7 linked regions of the Rattus norvegicus genome follow. The protein of the gene in region 1 interacts with the protein of each later gene in a biochemical or structural test. Links are inferred from orthologs where the notes say so. Each region holds a gene or a part of one and is shown in the gene's direction. Other genes may lie near its edges. The genes, in order: Rara, Nr0b2, Nrip1, Psmc5, Ncoa6, Tada3 and Trim24.

Region 1 (4,134 bases):
TAGAAGGTTAACATGTAGATCAGGCTTTTAAGAGGACATATAATAGGACACCCTGATCTTTTCTGGGTATCTCTTCTTTCCAGGGACCTACCTAACCCAGGCCTTTCTTCCACTGAAACAGTTGTCCTAGGGAGGAAGTGGTTCAGCTGGAAGTCTCCTTTTATCTGTCCTGGGCTGGCCCATCCTCGTTCCCGGGCTGGGAGACACCCTGGGCGGAGCTTTGCTTGCCGGAAGCACGCAGAGTGTGGGAGGAGAGCTCCCCGCTAGTGTTTGTGCTAACAGCTCAGTTCTGCCGCGTCGTTTTCGGGCGAGTGAGCCGGCAGCCGGAGTCTCACATGATGTCACAGACAGTGACACAAGCTAGAGGTCTCATTCCGACACAGCACCCAGGCTGCACAATGTCACACCCGGGACACCCAGCACGCTGCGTTTGTGGTTCTAACGCTGGGCCACCTGCCTCTGGGCCCTATGCTTACTGCCCGCCTGTTCGGACTTTGGGGCTGGACAGGACCGAGAAGGGGGCCAGTGGGCGAGCCCGGAGGGCGGGTTGGCGAGCTGGTGATGTCACGGGCAGCAGTGGGTGGGTCACCCGGAGGTGAGGCGCCGTCAGGCGAGTTCAGCAAGAGTTCAGTCGCATTGCATTAGGCAAATGAAGCTGGGGCTGGGGGTGGGGGGCGTGTTTACGGGGAGGACCCCAGGACCACCCCACCTCCCCGCCGCTGCTTCGCCCAGCAGGGGATTGACCAAAAGCACTAGGGAGGCCGGGTGCCAGAACTGGGATGGGGAGGATGCTCTCTCCTCGTCGGTCCTGCCTCCCGGTGCACCCTGCTATCCATACCCGACCTGGTTCTATGCACAGCGCTTTTCCCGCCTCTGCTCCCTCTCCGAGGCTGCCACAACTCGTGGTCCACGTGCAGCCTTTAGGCCCTTGCATCCCTGCATCTCTCCCTCTGCAGTGGGACCCGCAAGGAAAGGGTTAAGCCAGGGGCGGCGCCTGGCCGGGGCGGGGCGGAGGCTAGGGGCTGGAATCCCAGAGAGGGGGCGCGCGGGCTTGGGGGGTGGTGGCGCGCACACCGGAGACCAAGCAAGCGGCCCGCCGCCGGCCTGGCGGAGGCGGGGCCGTACGGGGGTTCCCCCACCCGCACCCGGAATCTAAGCCACGGAGAAGCCCGGGAGCCCCGGCCGGCAAAAGGAAGTGCTCGGTGACCCCCGTCTCCGCCCTGATCCCGCCCCGGGCCAGCGAACTTGGGGAGCCGCTGGACTCTGCCTGGGACACCGAAGCCTCGAGTTCTCGAGCCACCGAGCGTTCCCTGCGAGCGAGCACCGAGAGACCTCTTCCTCCAACCTGCACAACTTCCCGCTTTTCACCTGGGACCGGCGGAGTGACCTGCGGACTTAGGCGCGGGCAATTCTGGGCTGGGCGCCCCGCTGAGGGGCCGCCCATCGGGGCGAAGGGACTTGTCCCTTTGCCCCTCTAGCCGACTTGCACGGATGGCGCCGCCGGCTGAGTGACGAGAGCCCCGGTGCAGGACTTCCCCCTCCTGGATCTTCGGCCTTCGCGGGGCAAGATGTACGAAAGTGTAGAAGTCGGGGGGCTTGCCCCCGCCCCTAACCCCTTCCTAGTGGTGGACTTTTATAACCAGAACCGGGCCTGTTTGCTCCAGGAGAAGGGGCTCCCTGCCCCGGGTCCCTACTCCACCCCACTCCGGACTCCGCTTTGGAATGGCTCAAACCACTGTACGTACCGGCCCCCGCTTTGCTACCTTAGAAGCTGGGGTGGGGGTGGCGGTAGGAACCTCTCTACACCTCACTTTCTCTGTCTGTCTCGCTGTAACTCGGATGTCCTAGCTGGACAGTTGCCCTCCACCCAGTGACCCTGGCGCACTGCCATGTTAGGGCTCAGTAACTTTGAGCGTTCCTTCTCCAGGAGACGTGAAATCTCAGCCTCTGGCGCCCCATTTACATCTTCTTGGTTAGGATCCACAGCCTGCTGGAGGGTGGGGTAAAGATCCTGACTGTGGGCTTGTCTGTTCCGAAGGGGAGGGGCCACCTCCCCGAATCCCACCCCTGTCAAAATCTAGGATGAGCTTTCCCCTGTGTGACAGCTACTACCTCCAGCTCCCGCCGACTGTGGGGGTGACACGGACTGGTCTCTGTCTTTGGGTTGGTAATGGGGTGTGGCAGAACGGGACTTCACAGGACAGTTGCCTGCCCGTCCACCCCCTTATACTTTCAGAGGCACCTAGTCCGTCTTGGGGAAAGGTCTGGCCCCAGACACCTGCCTAACATCCTGGAGACTTTGATGCTGGGAACATGGGAGAAGCTGGTGTAAAAACTCAAAATTGCTGTTCTCTAGGGCGTATTTGTTTTTTAAGGCCTGGGGGTCCTCTGGCAATCAGGGTGTATCTCTGCTGCTCCTGGGTCTTTTTGTTACCCTGTCTAGGGAAATAAGTCCAGACCTTGTGCTGTTAAAGAGGGAGAACCGATGTGAACCCTGTTGTCCTGGCCGCCGAGCCCTCCAGCCTGGTTCTAGCCGGCTGTGCTGTGAGGGAGGCTTCTGTTAACACCCAGGGTGCACACCTGGGCATGTTTATGCCCAGCCGCGAGGCAGTGTGTATTAGTGTGATTTCCATGTCAGAGAGCTGGTTCTAGGGTATTATTGTTAGGTGGCTCAGATTTCGTCTCCCACTCTGTTATGGGAGTGATTTCTTCCCAGGAGGGCCCCCACCTTCCCATACCTGCTGCCACCCTTCTGCGTGCCAGGGAGCAACAGAAGACTGGGTCTCTTATGGTCCGGTACAGCAGTTCTCAACCTGAGTGTCGACCCCTGGTGTGTGTGTGGTGGGGGGTGTCAACCCTTTCCACAGGGGTCACACCAGATATTTTGCACAAAAGATGCTCACATTATGAATCATAACGATAGCAAAGTTACAATTACAAAGTATCTGTGAAACTAATTTTATGATGGGGGGGCCACCACGGCATGAGGAACCATATTTAAAGGGTCACAGTGTTAGGAGGGTTGAGAACCACTGGCGTAGCCTATTGAAGAAGGCTGGAGTAGAATCTGCCCGCACACAAACCTTCCTTCATCATTGAGAGACCTGGGGTGAATGACAGCTGACCACTGCCCTTCCAGAGACACCTCTATCAGGCCTTTCCTATTGTCCTGCGCCCTGACCTATTGTCCTGCCCCCTGACCTTTGCCTTCCAAGGCAGAATCAGCTGTGAGGTTTCAGACTAGGAGGGGTGGGTGATCATTGGCTTTGGGGGGAAAAAGCAGAGGTGAGAAGTGGCTCCTTGACCCTTCTTATTATCCTAGCGCTGTAGGAAGGAGCCACCCCTAGGGTGAGCCTCCAGGCTTCCTTCTCTGCACTGGGTGAAGCTAGGATTTAAGCTCCCTGAGGTCCAGCTCCTATCTCTGAGCCCAAGCCCTCTAGGACAGCTGAGCTCTTGGCACAGAACTTGAAGGGAGGAGGCTTGCAGAGAACTTGGGAGACAGCCCACGCAGAAGCCTCCCTGCTCCCTCCCTTCAACCGCTTGGACATGGGGAAGTAGAGACCTGTCTGGGATAACCTAGCTAGAAGTCTGTTCACCAGCCTTCACCCTTGTGGAGTTGCTTGCCCTGGGACACACTAAGGGCCTCAAGTCAGGGTGGCTACTGGACCTCTACTAGCCTTGTATTTCCTCCTTGGAGAAGAGTCTTTTGCTGTGTGGAGACTATCTGGTGCCTTGAGTCACCTCTAGTTGTCTTGAAGAATACAACTCCCTGGTCTCCACCAACGGAGGGAAGATAGCAGGTTGGTTGTAGGTGGAGACCTGCTGGGTATTGCAGAGCCCTGGAGACTTTGCTTTCCTCCCACAGCCCCCATTTCAGTGCACTAGAGGACAAGGGGTGCACAGGATGTGGCCCCCATCTGTCCCCCACCAGTCTCCACAGCTCACGCCTCTGCCTGCTCCCAGACATCCAAGAATGTGAAGCACGTGGATGCCTGTAGTGGGGTGGGGGAATGGGAGAGATGCTTATCACCCGCCGACCGCTAGGTTTGGACCTTGCGCTGAGCTTTGCTGGGCTATACTGCACCCAGAGTCACCCTCACCATCGCCCCACGAGGAGGAAGGGCAATAGGGAGG
Region 2 (4,294 bases), on another chromosome or scaffold:
TATGGTCTCACCTAAGATACCAAGGCTCAGCTGGGGGTTGGGGGGAGGCATGGGCCTTTAACCTAAGTACTAGGGAGGCAGAGGCAGGTGGATTTCTGTAAATTTGAGACCAACCTGATCTACAGAGCAATTTCTTAGGACAGCCAGAGCTACACAGAGAAACCCTGTCTAGAAAAAACATAAAATGGGGGGGGGGGCTCCCTGAACACTGGAGACAAGCTGATAGTCACACTGTGAGTGGGACTCGTGGAGCCTAAACCAGATGCCAGGGCAGAGGATGCCAGATCTCTCTTTATCCACAGCACCAGGTTGCCTAAGAATGTGGCAACAGGGAGCCTGCTAGGCAAGGCTAGCCAAGGTCAGGAACCCGACACAACTGAGGCCCTCCCATGTCCCTTGTCCCTCACCTCTGACCGCTTGAGACAAATGTCCAAGACAGAGGAGTCATGTGCTAGCAGAGATGTGTTTCTACCCATACCACAGGTAGGCCATACCTGCAGACCAAGTATGTGGTGGGGGGTGCCTCTTAGCCACCAGTTCTGGGAAATTCACACTTCGGCTGCACAATTGATCCAGGGGAACAAACAAAGATGACTTTGAGGTCAGATGCACCTGTGCTCTGTCCCCGTCGGAGTGACTTTGAGTAGGTCACTTCACCTCCAGAGTGTCACAGAGTAAGAATGAAGTCTTCAGTGTTACAGTGGACCGAGACCCACACCAAGTGTGTGGGGGTGGGGGGGTTGGGGGGGTCCTTACTAAATGTTAGCCATGTAGGCCCTCGGTTTTGCAAGGGCAGATCCAGCCTCTGTGAAGCTATGGGAATGCAGGGTGGGAGCAGGGGCTCTGAAAGGTCTTCTTCCCAAAGGGGTTCATGTCCTGGAGTCCCAGGAGGGCAGCCTCCTAGACTGTACAGTGAACAAAGTCCCCCAGGGACCTGGCTCCCTTCCCTACAGCCTGTTCCTTACCGACAACAGGAGCAGAGCCCCAAGGTTAGGCAAACAAAGCAGCGATAAGCCACTTCCAGGCTGGGTATTGTATTCAAGGCTTTAGCCAGCTCCCTGGCTGGCTCCTTGGCTCTGTGAGAACCCTGGTCTTGTGTACATGAAAACGGCCACCAATAGAAACAACAGTCACGGCCAGCCCCTGGCTGGTTGAACGCCTGAGACCTTGGTGCCCTGGTACAGCCTGGGTTAATAACCCTGTTTATACACTTGAGTCATCCGATAAAGGGCATCCAGGCAGTGGGCAGGTGGCCCTGTGCCCTGCAATGGCCACTTCATTGACTAAAGCGATAGCAAGGCCACGTGGAGCTTCCAGTGCCCCTCCCCCACCACTTCTCCACCAGTCCTGCCAGGGTCAGCGTGTATGCATTGTGTGTGTGTGTATGGTTTTTTTTTTTTTTTTCAATGAACATGACTTCTGGAGTCAAGGTTGTTTGGCCAGTCCCCCTCCCGCCCATCAAGGATATAAATAGCACTCCGTAGAGAGGGCCACAGAGCCAGGAAGAAACAGGAACAAGACACAGACCATGAGCTCCAGCCAATCAGGGGTCTGCCCATGCCAGGGCTCTGCAAGCCACCCCACCATTCTCTACACACTTCTAAGCCCCGGTCCCAGGACCAGGCCCATGGCACCCGCATCTCGCAGCCACTGCCTGTGCCAGCAACACCGGCCTGTGCGCCTGTGTGCTCCACACCGCACCTGCAGGGAGGCCTTGGATGTCCTAGGCAAGACTGTAGCCTTCCTCAGGAACCTGCCGTCCTTCTGCCTCCTGCCCCATGAGGATCAGCGACGGCTGCTAGAGGGCTGCTGGGGCCCTCTCTTCCTGCTTGGGTTGGCCCAGGATACTGTGACCTTTGAGGTGGCCGAGGCTCCGGTCCCCAGCATACTTAAAAAGATCTTGCTAGAGGAACCCAACAGTGGTGCCCAGGGTGCCCAGCCACCAGACCCACCACAACCCTCACTGGCTGCCGTGCAGTGGCTGCAGCACTGCCTGGAGTCTTTCTGGAGCCTTGAGCTGGGTCCCAAGGAGTACGCATACCTGAAAGGCACTATCCTCTTCAACCCAGGTGAGCTTCCAGACACTCCTGGATGGTGGCCAAGGTGGGAGGGGACAGGGCTCATCCAGGGAAAGTGCTTTCTTGGGACTTGGCATCCATTGTACCTTTGGGTCCTTTTTAGCCTCAAAAATAGATACCTCGGGTTGGGGATTTAGCTCAGTGGTAGAGCGCTTGCCTATCAGGCGCAAGGCCCTGGGTTCGGTCCCCAGCTCCGAAAAATAGAAAAGAAAAAAAAAAAAAATAGATACCTCATAGGAGAGGCACAGAGAGGTTAAGCCACTACCTGAAGGTCACACAGCTGGGACTGCAGACCAAGCTAATGCAGAGACTACTTTTTGCCATGGTTCCTGAAATTTGGCCTGCATCTTAGGGAGTGTGGGAGGGTAGATGGGGTGGGGACATGGCTGCTTGGCAGATATATCTTCAAAGCCAGGCTGCATAGTGAGGTTCTGAAGGTCCACCGTGGGTTCAGGGAGGCCACTCAGAGAAGAAGAGAGAGAGAGTATGGGAGTGGGGTGAAGTCAAGCCAGGAGAAGAGTGATGGGGTGACAGGGAGAACTGGGACACAGTCTCACCATGTCACTCTGGCTGGTCTAGAACTCACTGCGTAGACCAAGATGGCCTAGCTTGGGAGAATAATCCTCGTGGCTTTGAGGAAGACAAGAGACGGACCTTGAAATTAAAGTACGATGTCACGTCATAGGAGTAGGCGTCCCAACTAGTCCCATGACATCTACCATATGTTAGGACTCAGTCTAAGGGCTTTACAAATATTGGTTTGCTTAAACCTCATAACAGGTGTGGGTGACCAGAACTGTCATTATCCCCACTTGACAGATGAAGAAGTTGAAGCACAAAGATTAAAGTACTCATTTAAGGAAGGTCACTCAGAAAGATTAAATTACTTACTCAAGGTCACTCAGCCAGTAAGTGGCTGCACTGAGATTCAAACCCTGGTTTTTTGGTGGGTTTGTTTTTGTTTTTGTTTTCTGTTTGTTAGGTTTTTGGGTTTTTTTTGTTTTTGTTTTGGGGTGGTTTGGTTTTTGGTTTTAAGATTTATTTAGGGACTGGAGAGATGGCTCAGCAGTTAAGAGCACTGACTGCTCTTCCAGAGCTCCTGAGTTCAAATCCCAGCAACCACATGGTGGCTCACAACCATCTGTAATGGGATCTGATGCCCTCTTCTTGTGTCTGAGAAAAGCTACAGTGTAATCGTATACATAAAATAAATAAATCTTAAAAAAAAGATTTATTTAGCCAGGTGGTGGTAGCATTTAATTCCAGCATTGGAAGGCACTGGGATCTCTGAGTTCAAGCCCAGTCAGAGAACTAGTTCCAGGACAGCCAGGGCTACACAGAGATGCCCTGTCTTTAAAAAAAATCAAATGAAAAGTAAAAATAAAAAGATTTATTTATACATTACTTTATGAGCTCCTACATGCGTGTGCATATGTACACATCACCTGTCAAGGAGATGTCACAAAGATGTCAGAAGAGGGCGTCAGATCCTCTGAAACTAGAGTTCTAGGGACTTGTAAAGCACAACATGGATGCTAGGAACTGAACTCAGGACCTCTGGAAGAGCAGTCAGTGCTGTTAACCACTGAGCCATCTCTCCAGCCCGTGTGTCTTCGTCATTACATCCACATTATCTGCTTGCTCTCCATAGTGGATGGATGGATAAGTGGTAAATAGTGAAGGAGACAGTGGGTGGGGCCTCCGAGGTGGCAGAGGGGACCAAGGCATGGACTCATCAGTGAAGAGATTGCCTCACAGACCTGGATTTTATTCCCAGCGCCCGCCACAAAACCGTCCTCTAACTTCCTGGCTTTACGAGCTGAGGATGTACTTCCCTAGTATGTTTTTTATATACATTGTCACTGTCTTCAGACACACCAGAAGAGGGCATCAGATCTCATTACAGATGGTCGTGAGCCACCATGTGGTTGCTGGGATTTGAACTCAGGACCTTTGGAAGAACAGTCGGTGCTCTTAACCACTGAGCTATCTCTCCAGCCCACTTCCCTAGTATGTTAAAGGGGCTATCAACATGCAGCCCAATGGTGGAATGTCTGCCTAGTGCACACTAGCATTCGCAAGGCCCTGAGTTGCACCCCAGCATACGAGGGAAGGGAACTGCTAACATTCTCCCACCCTGGGCAAACCTCCACAGACTTAGATGCTCACCGGCCCTCTTTACCCTCTCTGCCACAGATGTGCCAGGCCTCCATGCC
Region 3 (4,062 bases), on another chromosome or scaffold:
TTTGTTTTTGTTTTTTTTTATGTCAAGCGAAAACAACTTCTGCAAATGATTCTTTTCATGGCAAGATGCTAGAGTCAAAAACAAACGTGACATCTGGGGTAGGGGGAGCGTTAAAAGGAGGCTTCACAAGTAACATATGAAGGGAGTAGAGAGAATAGGATTTTAAAGCAGAAAACACAAGGAGAGGAAGAGATCACGGTTTCGTCTTTTTCTCTCCTCCCTCCACTTTCTAGCCTCACCAATCTGTTAGCCCCCCTCAAATTCAGAGGCGGGTTCAGCAAGACCAGGCTGCAGGAAACCCAGGTTTCGCTGCACTGCCACCCTGGCTCCGTGATGTAATTGTTATTTATTGAGACTCTGAACCCAGCAGAGCTGCTTAAAGAAGTGCCAGCCCATCTTCTAGTCCTGTTGGGTCAGATCCTTCCTGGGGGTGGTGCAGATTGGCGGGCAGACCCTACTGGAGACTTCGCAGTGACAAAGCAGCAGAAGATAAACCAGGTTCCTGGGTCCTGCGTCCGTCTAGGGAGCTGAGCTGTGCACTCCTCAGGTCTCCTTCCCAGTTTTCCGCTTGCAATCATGCCATATTTATTACTGGGTCCTACTAGGTGCTGAGGATGGGGTCAAAATGACCTAGAGTTATAGCGCCGTGGCTTCCGGAATTTAAGCGGGACACAGATTTCAAGGAGGTGGAAAATTGAGGGTGGGTAAAGGGCTCCAAGAGAACGCGTATTTGTGGGTTGAAACGGGAGAAAGGGAGACATTTAAGGTGCCAGCCCTTAGGTGGGGAACCTGGGGTAGGGTTAAGGCGCCCCGACTCCCCTTTGGTGCCCCCAGCGTTTGCCCCCGCAAGGGTGACATGGGCTATCGCCTGGCCCCTAGCGGGGAATCTGTCCAGGCGGCTGGCTGGACGCGGCTGGGAAGCCAGGGCGCCGGCTCGGGGAGCAAAGCACCCCCCTTCTCCGGTTCAACCGCGTCCTCCCTCTGCCTTCAAGGCCGCTCAGACCCGGACCCCCACCCGGAGCACCGGCGAGAAGGCCTGCAGACGCCGGGTGGGCTCCCGGGCTCCGGCAAGCCGCCGGGTGCGCGCTCCGCCCGGGTGACAATGGGAGGGAGGGGCAGAAAAGGGTTAAGAAACTTGGCTGAAGAGCTGAATGGCGTGGAGCAGCGAGGGGAGGGACCCGGCCGCCGCGAAGTCGGCGGCGGAGGGAGGAGCGCGGCTGCGGCGGGCGGGCGGCGAGCGAGGCGCTCAAAGTCAGCCTCGCAGACATTGCAGCAGAGCCCCGAACTCGGGAGGCGACGGCGACCGCGGCGCAGGCGGAGGACGAGCCGGCCCCAGCCCGCCGGTGCGCAGCGCCCGTGGCCTCGCGCGGCCGCAGGGCACGGCTAACCTGGGAAGGAGGGAGCGACGCGGATCGGCGGCCCGGAGCCGCGGCGGCCTCGGTGAGTGGCGATCGCGGCCCGGGCTCCGTGCGGAGCTCGCTGAGCGGACGCCGAGCCGCCCGGGCACGGCCTGGGTGCGCGGCCCGTGGAGGCGGCGGAGGCCGGGGGAGGCCCGCGGGGGGCTCCAGGGACACGGATCCCGGGGACAGCGCGCCGCCGCGCCCCTCTCCGGCTCTCCCCGGGAACTCGCGGGCCCGGCCGGCGCAGCCGCCAAGTTGTGGAGTTCCCAGCCGCGGGCTCGTCCGTGCCAGCCTTGGCGCGAGGGGCGCAGCCGCCCTGGGTGTAATGCGCCGGGACCCACGCGGGTGGCCGGATCGCGGGGCCCGGGTCGAGCTCGCCCGCCCGCCCGGCTGCCCCCGTTGGCCCCGAGCCCCGGGCGCTGGCTGCAGCCCCGCTCGGTCCTGCCGCCCAGCGGTGCTCGCGGTGGCGCCCGCGCAGCTCCCCGCCTATCGCCGGTTTCTCCCTTGCGCGGTGCTCGCCGATTCCCGGCCGGGAAAAGTGACTCGGAGAAGGGACAGCGCTGAGCCCCAGGCCCGGCCTGCTGGGCACGAGCTCCCCGCCTGCCGAGGAGGGCGAGGCCCCTTGCACCCGAGGCCTCAGCCCAGTTCCCCCAGCATCCGAGAGGGGTTCACTCGGGTGAGCCTGGTGAAGTCCTGAGAGACTGCTCTTCTCTCTGGTGCCACTGTCCTCCTTACTACTATTGTTGCTAGAAGAAACCCTCTTCCGCGGAAACATTCCCCTAGACCCTCCCATCCTTCCCAAAGTAGTTTCCAAATTTTAATCAGGAGTTGATATTCAGACGGAAGGAACAAAGGAATCCACTGTGTTTAAAAGGCGGACAGGCAGTGAGTCTGACACATGTTGATCTCTGAGGCATTCCACGAGTTTCTACCTTCCATCATGTCAGAAATTTAATTGGATTCTGGCGGTCGCAAACGAAGTATGAAACGTTAGGTAATTTTACGTTAAAATACTTTACTTTTTTAAATTAATGGATCATTTTAGTTAGAGGGAAGTCCGGACATTGTTAGGTGCAAGAACTTTTAACTCTTTTTTTTTTGATGGCACCAGGCTGGAGTTTGTCTGCTCTTGTAACTGATTGTGACACTGAGCGAAAACAGTGTTTTTAGAGAAAGAGAGACAGTCTAAAAGTAAAACAAGATTGGAGTGTCTGTGTGTCTGTCTGTCTGTGTGTATGCTTAAACGATGTGTAGTCTATCTCTTGGGTTTTGTAAAGCAGGGACTTCGGTAATTCATTCTTTAGAGTTATGAATTACATTGAACCCGCTTATTAGTGAATCATGGGTTTAGCAAGTGGGCGGCATCTTCCAGATGCAATTATCCAGTGTTTAATCATCAGGTTGCCACCTTTGTCTAAGAGACGGAGTCGACTTTTTAAGCAAACGGTGGGTGCTTCACATGCATGGCCCCTAAGAGTGGCTGCAGCCTGGGAAAATGTTGAAATCTTCCCCTTCCAAGTGAGTTGCCCTGGTTTGGCCCAGCAGTTTGTCCATAGGGTTTAATTGATCCAACAGGAACTTTCTGTGTAGGACTTAGTAGAGACAAAGGAGAGTCAGTCATGCCGCAGGCAATACCTGCAAACTGGAGCCTCACCCCAGCCTGTTCTATACTGTACTGGGAAGACTCCACACTTAAAGTACAAGGAGCGAGAAGAAAATATCCTTAAAAAGTATACTTCAAAACTCTAAGGAGGGCTTCGGTTGCTGCTTATATACAGGTAGTTGAAAACCAGCTTTCATGCCTACGAGAAGACTTAGAAATCTGAGTTTCCAAACTTTGCAGAACTTGGATTTTTGTAATTGAGATACCTGAAAATAATTGTGGGTTAGCAATGGAGAAATGTTTGTGGATGAGGCCAGGGCTCCTCTGACTCCTCCAGTTTTAAGAGCAAAACGTTGTGATTAAAAAAATAACCTATACCACCACCTAGAGTCTGTTTGTTAGTTTATTGCTCTTGGAGTTTGCTTACATTGACGTGTCCCTCGTGGTTACTGTATAGTCAAAACAAGATTAAGGAATTCAGGCTTTTCAGAGGCCATCCAGGAGAACACTTATTTAAGTAATGCATAGCAAGTGCCAATTTAAATTATCCACGACACTTTCAGAACCGAAAATTATGACATATCAACTCAAGTGGGCCAGTCTCCGAAAGATACTAATTCAAAAGAAAAAAAATTTAAAGACAGCTTCTTTTAGCTTGTGCTCCAAGGTGGCCCTGAGTGCAAAAAGATTTCCTGTGATACGAGAGATTCAAGAAATGTGACAAAATAAGTGTTCTCGGTGCCTTTTGAGGTTTTTTTTTGGGGGGGGGAGGGCGACAAAAGCGATGACAAAAGTATAGAGAGAGGGATGTTGCCATTACCAACATTTTAAACACTGAGAAGGTTAGAGAGACGGTAGACCGTCTTGGAAGCTGGGATAAGGTGTTTGGGAATACAGTCAGTGAAACAGTGATAACCTGTCCTACTGGAGGTTTGTGAGTGGCAAAGCAGTCTGTTAAACAGGAGGCCTGAGGGCGGCAGCCTCTACCCTTCTGCTTATCACATTGTCCGAGGAGGAAGTAACGCTCCTCCTCTAACCGTCTAGCCTGAAAGATGGCCT
Region 4 (4,164 bases), about 7.3 Mb from region 1:
TAAGACTGGATACAGGCATAAACTTGGCAGCCACCTGCAGCCTGTGGAAAAGACAGGTTTAAATACCTTTCATCCCTTGGCAATGTGATTTCCCAGCCTCTTAAGGGGCACTTGTTAAGTGTCTTGGCCAAATTGTCTATGCACACATTCAAGAAGCAAGCTGCTGGGCGTAGCAACACAGGGCTGCATTACCAGCTATCAAGGCCAAACGTTCAAGGCCAGCCTGGGCAATTTCTGAGAGTCCCTGTCTCAATGAAAAGAAAGCAGATTGGAGATATAACTCGGTGGTGGAGCGACTGCCTAGCATGAGTAAGTCCTTAGGTTCAGTCCCACGAGAGGGGAAAAAAGAATGACACTGACTTCCAAAATTTAGGAGAGACACATGCTATGGAATATTTAATCTGAATTGTATAATCGGATTTCCATCCTCCCCCAAAGCAACTCAAAGCCAGCCAGTGCAAGGGACGTATCATCACAAGCAGTCCCTGCCAACCAAATATTACCATCCTCCAGGTGCAGCACACAGGTCCAGCAAGGCCCGGGCTTTCTGAAGGAACTGAAAGCGGCGATTGAGCTGGATCAGTTTGAAGGCAGAACGCGAACGATAACCTAGACCGTAGGGAGTGGATGTATAAAACAATAACGTCTACGGATGCCTTTTCTAAGAGGACTTCCACAGCCTCACAACCCCATCACCCTCCCCCTAAGGAAAAGGAACACAATATTAGAAAAAGCGTAAAGGCTGATATGTTATTCACGCAGCGCAAACCCACTCACCGGTCTCCTTGGCCAAGTGATAGAACTTGTCCCGCCGGCTCTTGCCTACTTTGCCTTTCTTGCCCATGGCGGGATGGGGTAGTATCACTCACTCTGGGGAGAAAGAAAAAGTTGAGAATATCTTTCAGAGCGCTGGATTTTTGCTTCGGTTCCTCGGGTGGCGAAGCAATCACTTACCGAGACGTTAGATAGCCCTTAACTCCGCAGGTTTTCAACACTTAGGGAAGTAGCACATGTGGGTAGTGATCGTACTTCCGCTTCCGCTCGCGCTCCCTGTGTTCCTAGCGTCTTGATTTACGCCATTTTGAGTGTGGCCAAAAATTTTGTCAGCGTGTCTTGCAAGTTAAAAGTAGAGGCTAGGAAGTAGAGTACAATAACTACTCCCTAGACTCTAGGAAGCATCCGCCATAAGTTATATATCTCTTTACAAACCTACTAACCGCCAGTAGAGCCTGTAATAAAGCCACTGTTATTGTCTCACCACACACCCCGCCCATTGACCCGGAACTGTTCTCGGTCGTGACCCAGGTCGCACGCTTTCGGCTCCGCGCCTGCGCAATAGGGTGACTTGGATGCCGGCGGTCCCTGCCGAAGGAGGGAAGATGGCGCTTGATGGGCCAGAGCAGGTAAGGATTCTGCCGCGGCGTCAGGGCGGCATCCAAGCCGAGTGTGGAGTGCACAAAATCTGAACTGAGGGGTGGCCACTAGCAAAAGGGTCGAGTGGATCAGGGGTGGGTGGACCACGTCAGACTTGACCCTGCCTGGAACTGGATCTGCTGTGTCAGCGCCACCCGCGGTAAGCAGGACAGGGCTGGGTAAAAACTGAATGAAGAGCTAGGCAAGCCGGAATGGCCTGGGTGGGACCTGGACTTGGTCCTTCTGTTCTGCCTTTGTCTGTAGTAGTTACACCTTGGGTTTGTATAGCTCTTGCCACAGAGCAAAGCGCTCTGTAAGTATATGGCCCCTTGAGCCTCCTAAAAGTCTTCGAAGGTAGGCGGTAATTGCATCCTTTTAGTGGATTCAAAAGTGAAGGATTAGAACCAATAACTAAGCCTTTGCAGTTCAAACACACAGACCTCACCTATGGAGATAACCAGTTTCTGAGGAAAAGGGAATGATACTTTCCTGGCCTTGTTTCTTAAGCTATATGGTAAAGTGCCCTGAAAATACTTTGGCTTTATCCCTTAGTAGTTTACGTAACTGTTTAACAATTACACTTGTCTTCAGATGGAACTGGAAGAGGGGAAGGCAGGCAGTGGACTCCGTCAATATTATCTGTCCAAGATTGAAGAACTCCAGGTAAGTCCAGACACCAGAGGGAGCTTGAGAGCTAGCTGGTAGGTGCAGATTTCTCAACGTCCTTTTTCCACTGGGAGTGCAGCAAAGTGTTCTTTTCCAGTGTCGTTCTTGTAGCTCTTCAGTTGTTAATTTATTATGCATATGTGTATATGTGTGCTTTCGTAAGCTTATATGCATCATATGTATGCAGGTGCCTGCGCAGGGCAGAAGAGGGCAGTGGATCCCCTGAAACTTGAGTTACAGATAGTTATCTTTCCCAGGCACTTAGAGTGACAACTAAACCCAGGCCCTCTGCAAAAGCAGTAAACCCTGTTAACTGGTGAGCCGCCTCTCCAGCCCCTCCTCTGTGGTTAGGAAGTAACAAGCAGTGTAACGTATATTGGTAATCTCTTGGATGGGAATGGTATTTAGTTAGGATTTCTGTTTGCTCGCTCGCTCGCTTTTTCAGGCTTTTCATTTTATGTTGTGTTTGGGTGTTTTGCTTGCATCTATGTCTGTGCCAGAAGATGGTGTAGGAGCCCTGGAAACGGAGTCACGGAAGGTTGTGAGCTGCCGTGTGGGTGCTGGGAATCCAGCCCAGGTTCTCCCGGAGCAGCTGGGACTCTCAACCACTTTTAACCATGCTTTAATGCTTCTGCTTTGGTCTTTAGTGCTTCACCTTTCTCGGGTCTGAAATAAGGCGGAAGGATGGATGTTGTTGTCTGTCTTTTATTGTCTTGCCTTTGTCTTACTTTTGTTTATTTAATAGATTCTCATTGTGTAGCCCAGATGGGCTGGGATTCTCCAGCTCTCAGCCTCCTTAGGGTAGAAATTACAAGCCTGTGTCGTCGTGCCTACCTTTTAAAACTAACTGTTTTTTCTAATTTTATGTTTTGAAATCCTTATCACCACCACCCCTTCTATGGGTGTTCCTAAATACACAGACACGACCTGTTCAGTCTGTATAATGTTACCTGCATGTATGTGCTCACTGGGTACTGCATAACCACCCCTTCTATGGGTGTTCCTAAATACACAGACATGACCTGTTCAGTCTGTATAATGTTACCTGCATGTATGTGCTCACTGGGTACTGCATAACCAAACGGGGCGCTTCTTCCTTGTCTTCCTCTCAGCTTTCCTCAGGAGCCATAATTCTTTGTCTGGGGTTGAGGCCCCATGAGTGAACTTCTCCCTTCCATGTTAGCGTGTCCATTGGTGTCACCAGTGTTCAGGACTTGTCTAATTTAAGAATCCATGTCGATGAGACTTCATGAGTGTAGCATTTCTGACTCTTTTTTTTTTTTTTAAGATTTACTTATTTTATATATGTGAGTACACTGTAGCTGTCTTCAGACACACCAGCAGAGGGCACCAGATCCCATTACAGATGGTTGTGAGCCACCATGTGGGTGCTGGGAATTGAACTCGGGACCTCTGGAAGAGCAGTCGGTGCTCTTAACCGCTGAGCCATCTCTTCAGCCCAATCTCTGACATTTCTAAGAAACAGTCTCCCAGCAAACCTTGTTTATCTGGCTCTTAGGATCTTTCTGCCCCCTCTTCCAAAATGACCTCTGAGCCCTGGGTTTAGGAGTTGCACTGTAGATGTCAGTTGGGACCAGCAATGCAGTCTCTTGACTTCTACGTTTTGGTCAGTTGTGGTTGTCTGTAATTGTCTCCATTTGTTGCCAAGAGAAGTTTCAAGAGAAGGGACTAGAACCGCATTTATCTGTAATAGACTGCAGTTACAGATTATGCAGACTTAGTAAAGTGGGCCTCCTTGTGCTTACCACAGGCTGTGTTCCTACACTGACTGTATGGAAACAGAGTAAACCTACCCTGTGTACTCCTCAGCCTAGGCCACCGTGCCTGGTCTGTATTGTGAATGGGGAAAAAAAGGTTTAGTAAAGTGATTGTAGGCTCTTCACAATCCATAACGTAACGAGCCCGGCATAGTTGACTATGTGTCTAGTACCGGGCTTTGTTTTCCTCCCTTTAAGCAGGCTGCAGTCCAGTTAGAGAACTGTTGGGTGCCACCATGGTAATTGTGGGTCATAAGCATCACAGCTGAGTAGAACTATCAGTTGGTTCCTCCTTGGAAGCTTGTGT
Region 5 (3,500 bases), on another chromosome or scaffold:
AGTTGTACCATTTGTATATTCTCATCATTAGTGCACAGGGTCCCCAATTTCCTCATATCATTGTCAACATTTGCTATATTCTATTTTTATAATAATCACCCTAGTGATATAGTATATAGCCATTTGATACTGGTTTTTGTTTTTGCTTTTTGTTTTTTTTTTTTTTAAATGCACAAAATCATTAAGAAGTCCAGTGTTTCAGGCCAGGCAGCAGTGATGCACACCTTTAATCCCAGCACTTAGGAGGCTGAATCAGGTTGATCTCTGTGAGTTCGAGGCCAGCCTCATCTATAGAGTGAATTCCAGGAAAGCCAGAGTTACACAGAGAAACACCATCTCAGGAAAAAAAAGTTTAATGTCTCTACTTTTTTTCTTATGTGCCTGTCCCTTTGTTGCCACATCCAAGAAATCACTGACAAGTCCAAGGCTTGTCAGATATTTTCTTCTAAGTGTTTTAGGTCTATGTTTAAGTGTTTGTTCCATTTTTAATTAATTTTTGTACATGGTATTAGGATATTGCATGTGGACACACACTGTGCCCAGAGTAAGTTAGCTTTTGTGCATTCTTAAGAATATGTCTAGAGGTTTGTATAGGTTTTAGAATTGCAGATGCCAAATGTTTTTCTGTCCTAGAGGAAGCTGACTTGTCAGAATGTATGTTTCCTTCCTGTGTTTGCTTACTTCAGTGGACTCTGCTCTTATTTAAGATATGGATTTTTGTTTTATCTTTGGTTGCTCATTCTCAAATGCTTTCACAACTGATCATGTTATTCTCTTTCCTTCATGACCAAGAATCCAGCAAGCTGAAGGTACAGAAAGTGGAGCCCTGGAACAGCGTGCGAGTCACATTCAACATCCCCCGGGAAGCAGCAGAGCGGTTACGGATCCTGGCTCAGAGCAACAACCAGCAGCTTCGGGATCTGGGGATTCTCTCCGTTCAGATTGAAGGTCCTTTGCTTTGCCATGTGCCCATCTGAATCAAAGTACAATAACAGTAGAACCCTGCAGAGTTCCCGATGCTGCCCTGTCTGTCTCTCTGCGCTCACGTTTGAGACTCTCAAGCACCTGTACATCCTGTGTTTCATGTTTCAGTACCTTAGAATGAAAACGGGTTGAGGGTGTTGCCGGAGCCTGAACGCTCAGGCCTTTGGCTCTTCTGCCTTCAGTCTTAGACTTTGATCTTACTTGTACCCTGCACTGAACTGATTTGTCTTTGAAGAATGTTTAATTTTAATTGCTTTCCTTTAGTGAATAATTTTAATTTTTCCTTTGTTCATTTAGTGGATTAGGGAGTCCTAAACAGTTCTTTTGTAACTGTTTATCACTGGACTGACCCTCTGAATGTAAGAATATGCTTATTCTAATATTTATAACATCCAGATTAGAGCCTTTCTGTTGCTTACTGCTTGTTTACAGAATATAGGCCAAATTCTCTACTGTGCTCTCAGGGCTTGCGTAGTCTGAAGTCTCCCTTCGTCATATAGCCTTATGCTAGTCATTTCCCTCCCAGCTCGCTGTTCTCCATCTCTTCCATTTTCCCTCGGTCCTTTGATCACACAGTCCTCCCTTTTGTAGAGCATTTGCAGTCACTGCCTGGGGATGGTACACTGCTCTTATCTTTCCAGTCTCCAGGTTGATCTTTTCAGCCTTAAGTCTCTGGCTGAGTCTGTTGCTGTGCTCTAACAAAAACCCCTTTCTCTCAGATCATTTATCTCACCCTTTACTGAGGTCCATCATTTGGTTCTGTTCATTTCCCCATGTACTGTAAGCCCTAATAGGAAAGGAGTCATGTCCGGGTTTGTTCTGCTGTGTGTCTGAATTGCCTGAGCCACATAGTCTCTTTAGTAAGCTTGTCACAGGAAAGCCAGGACATATAATAGCATTACTTTGCTTTAGCACCTGGTATATAATTATAAATAAAATATGCCCCTTGCTGTTATAAACTCAAGTGAGCCCATGATATTATTTAATAAGAGGAACAACTCTATGATTGATATGAATCAAATTTATAGTACATCAACTATGGGCAAATACAAGAATTTCTTTTTAAAAATAATTTTTATATATTTTATTTGTGTGTGGTGGGGTGGGAGGTCAGAAGATAACCCATGGGAGCCAATTACCTTCGTCCACCATGTGGGTCCTGGGGATCAATTCCAGTCATTAGGCTTGGAAGCAAATGCCTTTACTCTCTGAGCTATCTCGCTGGCCCTACCTTGTGCTTTGAGACAGTCTTTCACTCATATCTAGGACCTGCCAATTAGGCCAGGTTGCTAGTCATTAGACTTCAGTGGTCCTCCTTCCTCTGCCTTATGTGGGGTACAGGTATGCTCCACTGCACCGTGCCAGGCTCTTTAAAATGGGTACTAGGAGTCAAATTCAGTTCCTGAGCAATCACTTTACCAACTGAGCTGTCTCCCTAGCCTCCTGGAATAGAGAACTTCTAAACAAGGAGTGATATTACTTGATGCCATTGCAAAACTCTTGCGCTTGGGAAGCAGGGTAAAGTAGCTTATACTTATAATGCCAGCACTACAGAGGCTGAAGTAGGAGGACCGCTACAAAGTTAAAGCCAGCCTAGACTACAGAGTAAGTCCTGTTGTTTAAATAAGTAAATAAAGACACCTTCTACTCAAAAAAGGGGGAAAAAACCTTCTGCTCAAAATTTCTTAACAAGCTTAATAAATTGCTAGTTCTTTTTTTTTTTTTTTCTTTTTTTTTTTCTTTTTTTCGGAGCTGGGGACCGAACCCAGGGCCTTGTGCTTGCTAGGCAAGCGCTCTACCACTGAGCTAAATCCCCAACCCCAAATTGCTAGTTCTTTACCAATGGTAAAATCTCCAAAACCCATACTTTATTGGACTTTCACGCTTGGTTCCTAAAAAGCGAGTCAGAGTATTTGACAGGCTCTGATGATCCTCCTTTATTGGTAGGACGTTGTTCCCTATGACCAGCCAGCCCATCCCCTGGGTAAACTTTACACAGGAAGCTCCATGACAGGACAGAGCAAGGTACCTACCTCCTTTATAGCTTCCTGCTTTACCTTCAAACTGGAAACCAAGATGCTAAGATATGAACGGAGTTGGGGCATATAATCCTTCCAACTCCCAAGTGATGGGACAGCTATCTTAGCTCTCCCCAAGGTGTTAAGTGTCTTCTGTGGAAGGTACTATAGCAGTCAAAATTGTGGACTAAGGGCAAGAAGCACTTATTTTGGCAGCTGTTTTTCTTCTTCTTCTTTTTTTTATTCCTTTCTTTTTTGTTTTTTTGTTTTTTTTTGTTTTGTTTTGTTCTGTTTTTTGGGATAGGGTTTCTCTGTGCCACAGTCTCAGCTGTCCTGGAATTTGCTCTATAGGTCAGAATGGCCTTGAACTCACAGAGATCCACCAGCTCTGCCTCCCGAGTGCAGGGATTAAAGGTCTGAGCTATCTTGCCTGGCTCAGCAACTGTTTTCCATTAGGCCAAGTAAGATTTAAATTTTCATAACTAGAGAGACAGCTCA
Region 6 (3,957 bases), on another chromosome or scaffold:
CGTTAAGGTCAACACGGTACTGAACACCCAGGAAGGAGTCTGCATGGAGGCGACACAGAACCTTCACTGGGGGCTGAAAGGCAAGGCTTCCAGGAAGGCCGAGAAGGTAATAAGGTGAAGTGGACACTTGCTTTGAGGTACCATGAGACAGGCGGGGACAGGGGGCTGTACTTAGCGAATCTCTACCGTGGAGGGAGAGGAGGTCCCGTTGCATTCCTCAGCGGTCCTACTACCTCAACTGCAAGCCACCACCACAGGCCTAGCAGTCCCGTCTCCTGCCTCCTCCAAACTTCGGAGAGAGGCCATTCTTGCCCGGGATTCCCAACCTGGAAGCCTCTGGGCCTGCTCTGCCCTGGGAGAGCCTCCCAGCTCGCCCCTTCCTCCTCGCCTCGGTCCTCGCCCCACCCTTTGCCTCTCCATCCTCACTGTGCCCCCTCATCCCAGGGCAACCTCCAGTCGCAAGCCCTAGCAGCAAGCAGCATCTTCCCCAGACCCACAGCCTCTCCAGGCAAAACACAGGGAGGCCCCCAGCCCCTGGTCTCTCACCATCGCGGGCGCTGTCTGGGCCGGAAAGCGGAAGTGCGGAAGTGCCCGGCCCCGGGACGCCTGCCCTTTCCAGAGAGGCGCAGCCGCAGTCCCCGACAGCACTTCCGGGCTGGACCATCTCGGGCAGGACCAGGGAAGAAGAGCCGAAGGATGTTCAGATCTCTGAGGCGATTTCACGCTGGGACCGCTGGGACTTGTAGAAGATCTGCAGTGACATAACAGCAGTCGAGGCCCCTTGGGTCCCCACACGTATCCCTCCAGCGCCTTTAGCGCTTGGCGCTTTGGTTGTAGCCTCCCCCCGTGTGACAATAGTATGGCCCGACCTCAGGTTGGGCACCAAATTAGGACAGGCCGAACCGGAGAAGCCCGACGTTTCTTCCGGTGGTGCTCCCCTATCCTCTCCGGGCTCCTCCCATTAGCAACCCTAGGGTTCGGCCGGGTAGCCAGTCCCTTGAGATTTGAGCTCAGAGCCCCGCCCCAGCCCCGGGCTGCTTCCTAGCCCCGGTCTCCTCAGGCCTAGCATTCCACTTCCCGGAGATTCGTAGGTGGCCTTAGACCCCCCCCAGCCCCCACCCCTACAGGTCACTGTGGGCTGGCCGTGTCCCCGCCCTCGCGTCAACTGCAGGGGGCCCGCCCATAGCCAGTTCCGGAGCAGTTGCTCCGATCGCCCTGGACTCCCCGCCCCCTCCTGCGGCCCGGGGCCTGTAGGAGGCCGCAGAGAGGAGGTAGGAGAGGCGGGGGTTGTGTTAGGGGCTCCCTAGAGGACAAGGACCCTGGAGGCGGGATCTTGGGGCGACACACAGGTGGAGCCAGCCATTAAGCAGTCCCACTTCTGTGCCAGGCACTGAGCTGGGCACTTGACGAGCATCACTTCTTAATCCTCAGAACATTCCAGGGAGGTAGGTACTCTCGATGCCCCCATTTTACAGATTCCTACTTTTTAATGGGGAAATAGACTGAGGCATCATCTTTTGTCCTGGAAAAAAAAACAAACCCAAAAACCAAAACGGAGATTCAGGTTAAATAACATGTTTAGAAAGGCACATAAGAAAATGGCTGGAACTTAGTTCTGTCTGCCTAACCAGCCTGTGTTCCAAACTAGTTAGAGACATAGAGAAGGTGCAAAGGTGGAATGGAGTGAGGCAAGGAGAGGCCGGGAGAACCCCGTTAGATAGAAATGGCCCAGTATAGGAAACAGAGGACATAGGAAGGCAGAGCACACTAGTATCCCCTCTCCCTTAATGCTGCAGATTCGAGACTACAGTGGTTCAAATTGCAACTAGGAGGCCGGCCTAATCATGCAGGTTTGTACACCTAGAGACTTGGGAGGCTGAAGCAGGTGGATCATAAGTTCAAGACCTGCCTGTACAACTTATTGAGAGCCTGTCTCAATAAGAATTCATGAAAGGGGTGCTGGATGTAACTCAGTTTGGAGAATTTGTACCTAGCATGAACAAGCACTGTATAAATCAGGTGTGGTACATGCCTAGAATTCCATCTCTTGGGAGTTGGAAATAAATCCTTGGCTACACAGCTAGTTTGAGACCAACCTGGGTGCATACCTTTATCCCAGCACTCTGGCACAAGAGGCAGGTGCTTTCTGGGTGGGGGGTGGGGGAAGCTTTATGAATTTGAGACCATCCTGATCTATATAGCCAATGAGTACCAGTCCACTCAAGGCTACATGGTGAGATTTTTGTCTTCCCAAAATATAGGAGTGGGGTGGGGTCTGGAGATGTGTGAGACCCTGGCTTCATTGCTACCAAAAAAGGAAAAGACAGTAAATTGTAGCTAGGAGTCTAGGCATGGGTACATGTTTCTTATATTTTTGGTTGTGAGCCTAGCCTTTAACGGCTGAGCCATCTCTCCAGCCCGGGTACATGTTTCTTTGGAGTCTTTTTCCTTTCTTGGTCAAAAGAAAGAAAGAGACCAGGCGGTGGTGGCACACACCTTTAATCCCAGTACTCTGGAGGTAGAAGCCAGGTGGATCTCTGAGTTCAAGGCCAACCTGGTCTACAGAGTGTGTTCCAGGCCAGCCAGAGTTGTTACACAGAGAAACTCTGTCTATAAATAAATAAATAAATAAATAAATAAATAAATAAATAAATAGCATGGGAAAAGACCCCTGCTTAAGGTTATATGCATAATTCAGGCATAATCCAGTGAAGTAAGTCTGGCTTGGTGTACTGTCAGGCTCTGAACAGGAGCTTTGCCACCGTCCTTATCTATGAGGGTGCTAAAGCCTGGTGTCTTTGTTGAATCTCTCCCCATGCTACTTTGTCTCCTACCCAATGGCCTCCTCCTCCTCTAATTTTCCAGGGTCCCATCTCCTGGGCCATGAGTGAACTGAAGGACTGCCCATTGCAGTTTCATGACTTCAAATCTGTGGACCACATGAAGGTCTGTCCCCGGTACACAGCAGTGCTGGCCCGCTCCGAGGACGATGGCATTGGCATCGAGGAGCTGGACACCCTGCAGCTGGAGCTTGAGACCCTGCTGTCCTCTGCAAGCAGGCGACTGCGTGTACTGGAAGCTGAAACGCAGGTGATTCTCCAACAGGGGCATCACTAGAGACACAGCATGTCGAGTTGAGGATGGATCACCAGGTTCACATCTACTGAAGCTGAGGGATGGATGGGAAGAGAGACCCACATGGGGATCATGACAGAATAGTTAGCTCTCAGTGCAGATACCAGCAGCCAAGGATGCCATCCAACTGTACTTCAGAAGATGGACACTGCCCACTTGTGGTCCTTGACGTTCCCTGGGAGGTTTCTGAGATGCACCTTGATACAGTTAGTTGCATAGACAGGGCTCCCGGGTAGGTTGGGGTTTGAAATGAAGGTTAGCTTGTTCACCATCACCAAAATACCAGCCATCGAATATTCCCCAGGACCACCATGCCCTGGGGAATAACCTTATTTTTATTTTTATTTTGTTAATCTTCCTGCCAAACCATCTGTGACTAGCTTGGGTGGTGGAGGTGAATCAGAATGTAGACCTACAATTAAATTCATGTGAGAAAGAACAATCCCAGGGAAGAGCAGGGGATTTTGAAATATGAGTAGTTTGCCTACTAACCTCAAATTCTAGATCTCAGCTACCCACAGCAGGGAAAGAAGTGCCCAGTGTCTTCTCTCCTTCTCAGGCACTGTTGTTGTGTGTTCCAGATCCTTACTGACTGGCAGGATAAGAAAGGTGACAGGCGAATTCTGAAGCTTGCTCGAGACCATGAGCTTGGTGCCCCTCCAAAACATGGGAAGCCCAAGAAGCAGAAACTGGAAGGGAAGACAGGACATGGGCCAGGCCCTGGCCCAGGACGACCCAAATCCAAAAATGTTCAACCCAAGATCCAAGAATATGAATTTACTGATGACCCAATCGATGTGCCTCGGATCCCCAAGAACGATG
Region 7 (3,500 bases), on another chromosome or scaffold:
GCACTGCCTTCTAAAAGTGTATGTCTTTGTGTTTCTCGTCATGTGGGATATGCAAATCATACTTCCCATGTGTCCTTGTGGACAGGTAGATTGGAAGTTTGTGCTTGTGAAAAGTCTCTTGCATGATATTTCATAATTCTTCCTCTGAAGATCAACCATGTCACCGGCACTCTAAAGTGCTAGGTGGCCGCCTGGTATTTAATGTGGAGTTTGTCAGAACATTCTCCTAGATCAACCCAACTGTAGCAGTTTAGAAAACAGGGAGAACATAGCTCACGTTGTGCTCACCTGTAAGCTTAAAGGTAGACGGGGTTAGCATTTGGTCTGGTGCCCTGGCGTCAAGTGTCAGTTTGTCGAGTGTCAATTTGTTTTGGTTTTTTGGTGTTTTGGGTTTTTTGCCTGTTTGTTTTTGGTTGAATCGTTATGTTGAGCAAAAGGATGAGACTAAGGTGACAGGAAATATCTGTTCTCCCTTAAAAATCAACTGTGTGTTTTCCTTTGAATAAATTTAGAAAACCTCTCTGTAATTCCTCACTATTTTCTGTTTGTGTTTTCATGGTGTGAAGCCCTCATGTGCCAAGTTTTATAGGAAAATCAGAAAGGTGTTAGGGCTTCTGGCTAGTTCCCCTATGTGGTTACTCAGTAATGCTGTCTCTGCACTTCACCTTGGAATTTCTGTTGGGTCCAGAAACACTGTACAGATGTGTTTTTCAATGGTTCTGAAATATATTCTTAACTGAGGGGAAAGGAAGCAATTTAGAGTATGAGAAAAAAAAAATCCAAAAGTAGGAAGAATTGGGGGAGGGAGGGCAGAGCTACGCCTATGGCTGTCTTGGTGTGGCCACATGAACCTTACAGCGCTAAAGATTCAGTTGTTTCTGTGAACGAGGACAGAAGTGCCTCCTTCTTCAGGAAGTCCTGATCTTAAACACAGTTATGGTGTCTTGAACAACGAAGCAACAAGTTCCCAACCATGAACACAGTTGAGTGGTCAAAAACACTGGCGTGTGAGCTTAGGGTTTGCTAAACTCAGTTTGAAGCCAGCATTGACAGAGGAGATGTGGCAGATTTGCCTCTCCACCCAGCCTTCCCCATCCACCAGTGTCAGGCGTGCTTCCTCCTGCTCACACCTCCTCCTCCTCCTTCCCTTTCCTTCCCTTCCCAACCACTCTTTCCCCTTGCCCTTTTCTAAGTGACTACTAGTGCCAACAGTGAGCATTCTGTGGTGAGATGTTACCCTCTGGGATTTTATGCAGTAAAGATCCGGTTTGGAGGCCATTGTTAGTTACTGCAGTGCTTTTGTTTCTTTCTTCTAGCATCCACCACCACGCTTAATAAACTTTCAGAACCACAGCCCTAAGCCCAATGGACCAGTGCTTCCTCCTTATCCTCAGCAGCTGAGGTACCCACCCAGCCAGAATATACCACGGCAGGCAATAAAGCCCAACCCCCTGCAGATGGCTTTTTTGGCTCAACAGGCCATAAAACAGGTGTGTGTTACCTTTCTCTCCAGTGCATCTCTGTACTGCCAGGTCATAGGAGCTTACGTAGACAATAGGTGATGAAGGGCACGTGCTTGCTTTTCTGTTGAGTAGAAAATACAGACTATATGTAGAAGCAGATCTATGGCGACAGGTAAGAAAACATCTCAGTGCTTTGTAATCAAGGAAGCCTTGCCTACTGTGTGTGTGTGTGTGTGTGTGTGTGTGTGTGTGTAATCAAGAATTGATTTACCATCTCTGGGTTTCATTTAGTAATATTTTAAAATTCATACTCGTTTCTGCTTCACCATTATAAAGAAAAGTTTAAATTGATGCTTGGCATCAAATTCTATTTATTTTCCTAATTTATGGCCTTGCCAACTACATTTTTTTTAGATCTCACTCCAGCTATAAAAATATGAGTGCCTTGCAGAGTTGTGTTGACAGTTGTCCTAATGCATATAAAATCACCTGGCACCTTTCAAGTATCACCCCTCCATTTATTAGATTTTAATGGCTAGATCATTGCCTTCTGCCAGTGACCAGTACCAAGGAACCAAGGTTCAACTCCAGAGATAGGACCAGGGACTCAAGGCTGTGCTGCACACGCCCCTCTCTGCTGGCTCGAGGCTCTGGAACTTTTCTTTGAGCAGCTCAGCCCACAGACTTGAAGCAAGGACAGGAAAACACGCTCGTGCCCTCAGCACTGTCATCGCATGTGCTCACAAGGCAGAAGGTCTCAAGACCAAATCAGGGTTGTTTGGTCAGCCGCATCTCTACGGGAATAGGAAACATCTTGCCTGTGGCATTCCTTGGGCAGATGGAAGCATTCCTGCTAGGGAGACAAACAAGAGTTCTGTGGAAACAGCAGGATAGCGTACGCATGCTTCAGTAAATACTATGAAGTTTCTTTTAATATTTTCTAGACAAAAATGTAAACATGAATGAATAAGTGAACAATAAACCAGGAGAAACATGACTTGTGAACTTTCTGTGTAGAGTTGATTCATAGGTGTCCTGTACTTTTTAAAGTGCCACGGTCAAACACGTAGGACGGGCCAGTGCTTTGGCACAGCTGCTCTCTGAGGTTTGAGGAGAGCTGGTGGAGTCCGAGCTTCCATGGTGTGGGTTCAGGGATCAGGTTGGCAGGCTTGCAGCAAGTGCTTTATGTACCGAACATCCCACTGGCCCCAGAAATTAGTTTTAATGCATAAATTCACCAAATTATCCCATGCTCATGTAATACTTTTTAGCTAGTAAGAAACTGTCATGTCACCTAATTTTTGTGAGATATGATCTCATCTCTGTGTTTTATCTTGTGCATAGGTAACAACCCCAGAAAGGTACTCATCAACAGTGATTCGTTACTCTCGGAAGGGGAGGAAGAAAAATACGTAGGGATAAGATAAAAAAGATTGGGTGTGAAGGTACTAAAGATGACATTCACACCCAACTTCATGTTTCTGTGTGTATACTTTTTACAGTTACATATATATGTGGGATTTTTTTCAGAACACCGTGTTTCAGAATGTCACTCTACAGTGTCATCCATATATAAATGAGTCTGGGCAGCTCTCTGCTGAATGACTTTGGGATAGCTTTCAGTTCTCCCACCCCTAGATTTATTCTGAGTTTTCATGTTTTTCAAGTACACCAAATATTGAAATAATTTCATAGGGACAGTTTGTTTCCCTTGCCTTAGTACATATTAACCATCTGCCTTTTTAGCTAACTATCCATCAGTGCTGTATTTTGTGTTTGCTTTGAAGCAAATGTGAATGAGAAAGCTGTCCTCAATAAGGCTTAATTACTTGGTCATATATGAAAAGTAAGGAAGGGAAGTATAAGCATCTTACAGCCCTAATAATATGTGACTATTTTTAGGCATTTCAGGTAGGAATAAAAGAAAATGTATGTTTTCAGTTCTCTAGCTTTACTTCAAAGAAGTTGCTTTTAGTATGCTTATATTTCTTGTACAATTCATATGTGTGTATATATATTTTGCAAGGATATGAGGTT

What was found.
Region 2: the proteins of Rara (region 1) and Nr0b2 form a complex in vitro, tested with the Homo sapiens proteins (2 studies listed by BioGRID). The link is inferred for Rattus norvegicus from reciprocal best matches to the Homo sapiens genes RARA and NR0B2.
Region 3: the proteins of Rara (region 1) and Nrip1 form a complex in vitro, tested with the Homo sapiens proteins (4 studies listed by BioGRID). The link is inferred for Rattus norvegicus from reciprocal best matches to the Homo sapiens genes RARA and NRIP1.
Region 4: the proteins of Rara (region 1) and Psmc5 form a complex in vitro, tested with the Homo sapiens proteins (2 studies listed by BioGRID). The link is inferred for Rattus norvegicus from reciprocal best matches to the Homo sapiens genes RARA and PSMC5.
Region 5: the proteins of Rara (region 1) and Ncoa6 form a complex in vitro, tested with the Homo sapiens proteins (3 studies listed by BioGRID). The link is inferred for Rattus norvegicus from reciprocal best matches to the Homo sapiens genes RARA and NCOA6.
Region 6: the proteins of Rara (region 1) and Tada3 form a complex in vitro, tested with the Homo sapiens proteins (2 studies listed by BioGRID). The link is inferred for Rattus norvegicus from reciprocal best matches to the Homo sapiens genes RARA and TADA3.
Region 7: the proteins of Rara (region 1) and Trim24 form a complex in vitro, tested with the Homo sapiens proteins (3 studies listed by BioGRID). The link is inferred for Rattus norvegicus from reciprocal best matches to the Homo sapiens genes RARA and TRIM24.

What each region holds. Positions count from the first base shown.
Region 1 is NC_086028.1:84,410,133-84,414,266, forward strand, and holds the start of Rara (retinoic acid receptor alpha), read left to right. Parts: upstream 1-1,334; 5' UTR 1,335-1,568; coding exon 1,569-1,737; intron 1,738-4,134. UniProt on the Homo sapiens protein: Receptor for retinoic acid. Retinoic acid receptors bind as heterodimers to their target response elements in response to their ligands, all-trans or 9-cis retinoic acid, and regulate gene expression in various biological processes.
Region 2 is NC_086023.1:151,061,666-151,065,959, forward strand, and holds the start of Nr0b2 (nuclear receptor subfamily 0 group B member 2), read left to right. Parts: upstream 1-1,494; 5' UTR 1,495-1,528; coding exon 1,529-2,069; intron 2,070-4,274; coding exon 4,275-4,294. UniProt on the Homo sapiens protein: Transcriptional regulator that acts as a negative regulator of receptor-dependent signaling pathways. Specifically inhibits transactivation of the nuclear receptor with which it interacts.
Region 3 is NC_086029.1:28,463,613-28,467,674, reverse strand, and holds the start of Nrip1 (nuclear receptor-interacting protein 1), read left to right. Parts: upstream 1-1,262; 5' UTR 1,263-1,440; intron 1,441-4,062. UniProt on the Homo sapiens protein: Modulates transcriptional activation by steroid receptors such as NR3C1, NR3C2 and ESR1. Also modulates transcriptional repression by nuclear hormone receptors.
Region 4 is NC_086028.1:91,686,189-91,690,352, forward strand, and holds the start of Psmc5 (26S proteasome regulatory subunit 8), read left to right. Parts: upstream 1-1,364; 5' UTR 1,365-1,379; coding exon 1,380-1,403; intron 1,404-2,004; coding exon 2,005-2,076; intron 2,077-3,828; exon of another isoform or gene 3,829-3,954; intron 3,955-4,164. Other genes in the region: pre-rRNA 2'-O-ribose RNA methyltransferase FTSJ3, read right to left, coding at 1-41, 504-609, 778-844.
Region 5 is NC_086021.1:164,385,276-164,388,775, reverse strand, and holds part of Ncoa6 (nuclear receptor coactivator 6), read left to right. Parts: intron 1-792; coding exon 793-948; intron 949-3,500. UniProt on the Homo sapiens protein: Nuclear receptor coactivator that directly binds nuclear receptors and stimulates the transcriptional activities in a hormone-dependent fashion. Coactivates expression in an agonist- and AF2-dependent manner.
Region 6 is NC_086022.1:148,074,521-148,078,477, reverse strand, and holds the start of Tada3 (transcriptional adapter 3), read left to right. Parts: upstream 1-1,157; 5' UTR 1,158-1,445; intron 1,446-1,796; exon of another isoform or gene 1,797-1,844; coding exon of another isoform or gene 1,845-1,850; intron 1,851-2,865; coding exon of another isoform or gene 2,866-2,883; coding exon 2,884-3,090; intron 3,091-3,716; coding exon 3,717-3,957. Other genes in the region: Arpc4 (actin-related protein 2/3 complex subunit 4), read right to left, coding at 547-549. UniProt on the Homo sapiens protein: Functions as a component of the PCAF complex. The PCAF complex is capable of efficiently acetylating histones in a nucleosomal context. The PCAF complex could be considered as the human version of the yeast SAGA complex.
Region 7 is NC_086022.1:67,638,835-67,642,334, forward strand, and holds part of Trim24 (transcription intermediary factor 1-alpha), read left to right. Parts: intron 1-1,316; coding exon 1,317-1,490; intron 1,491-3,500. UniProt on the Homo sapiens protein: Transcriptional coactivator that interacts with numerous nuclear receptors and coactivators and modulates the transcription of target genes.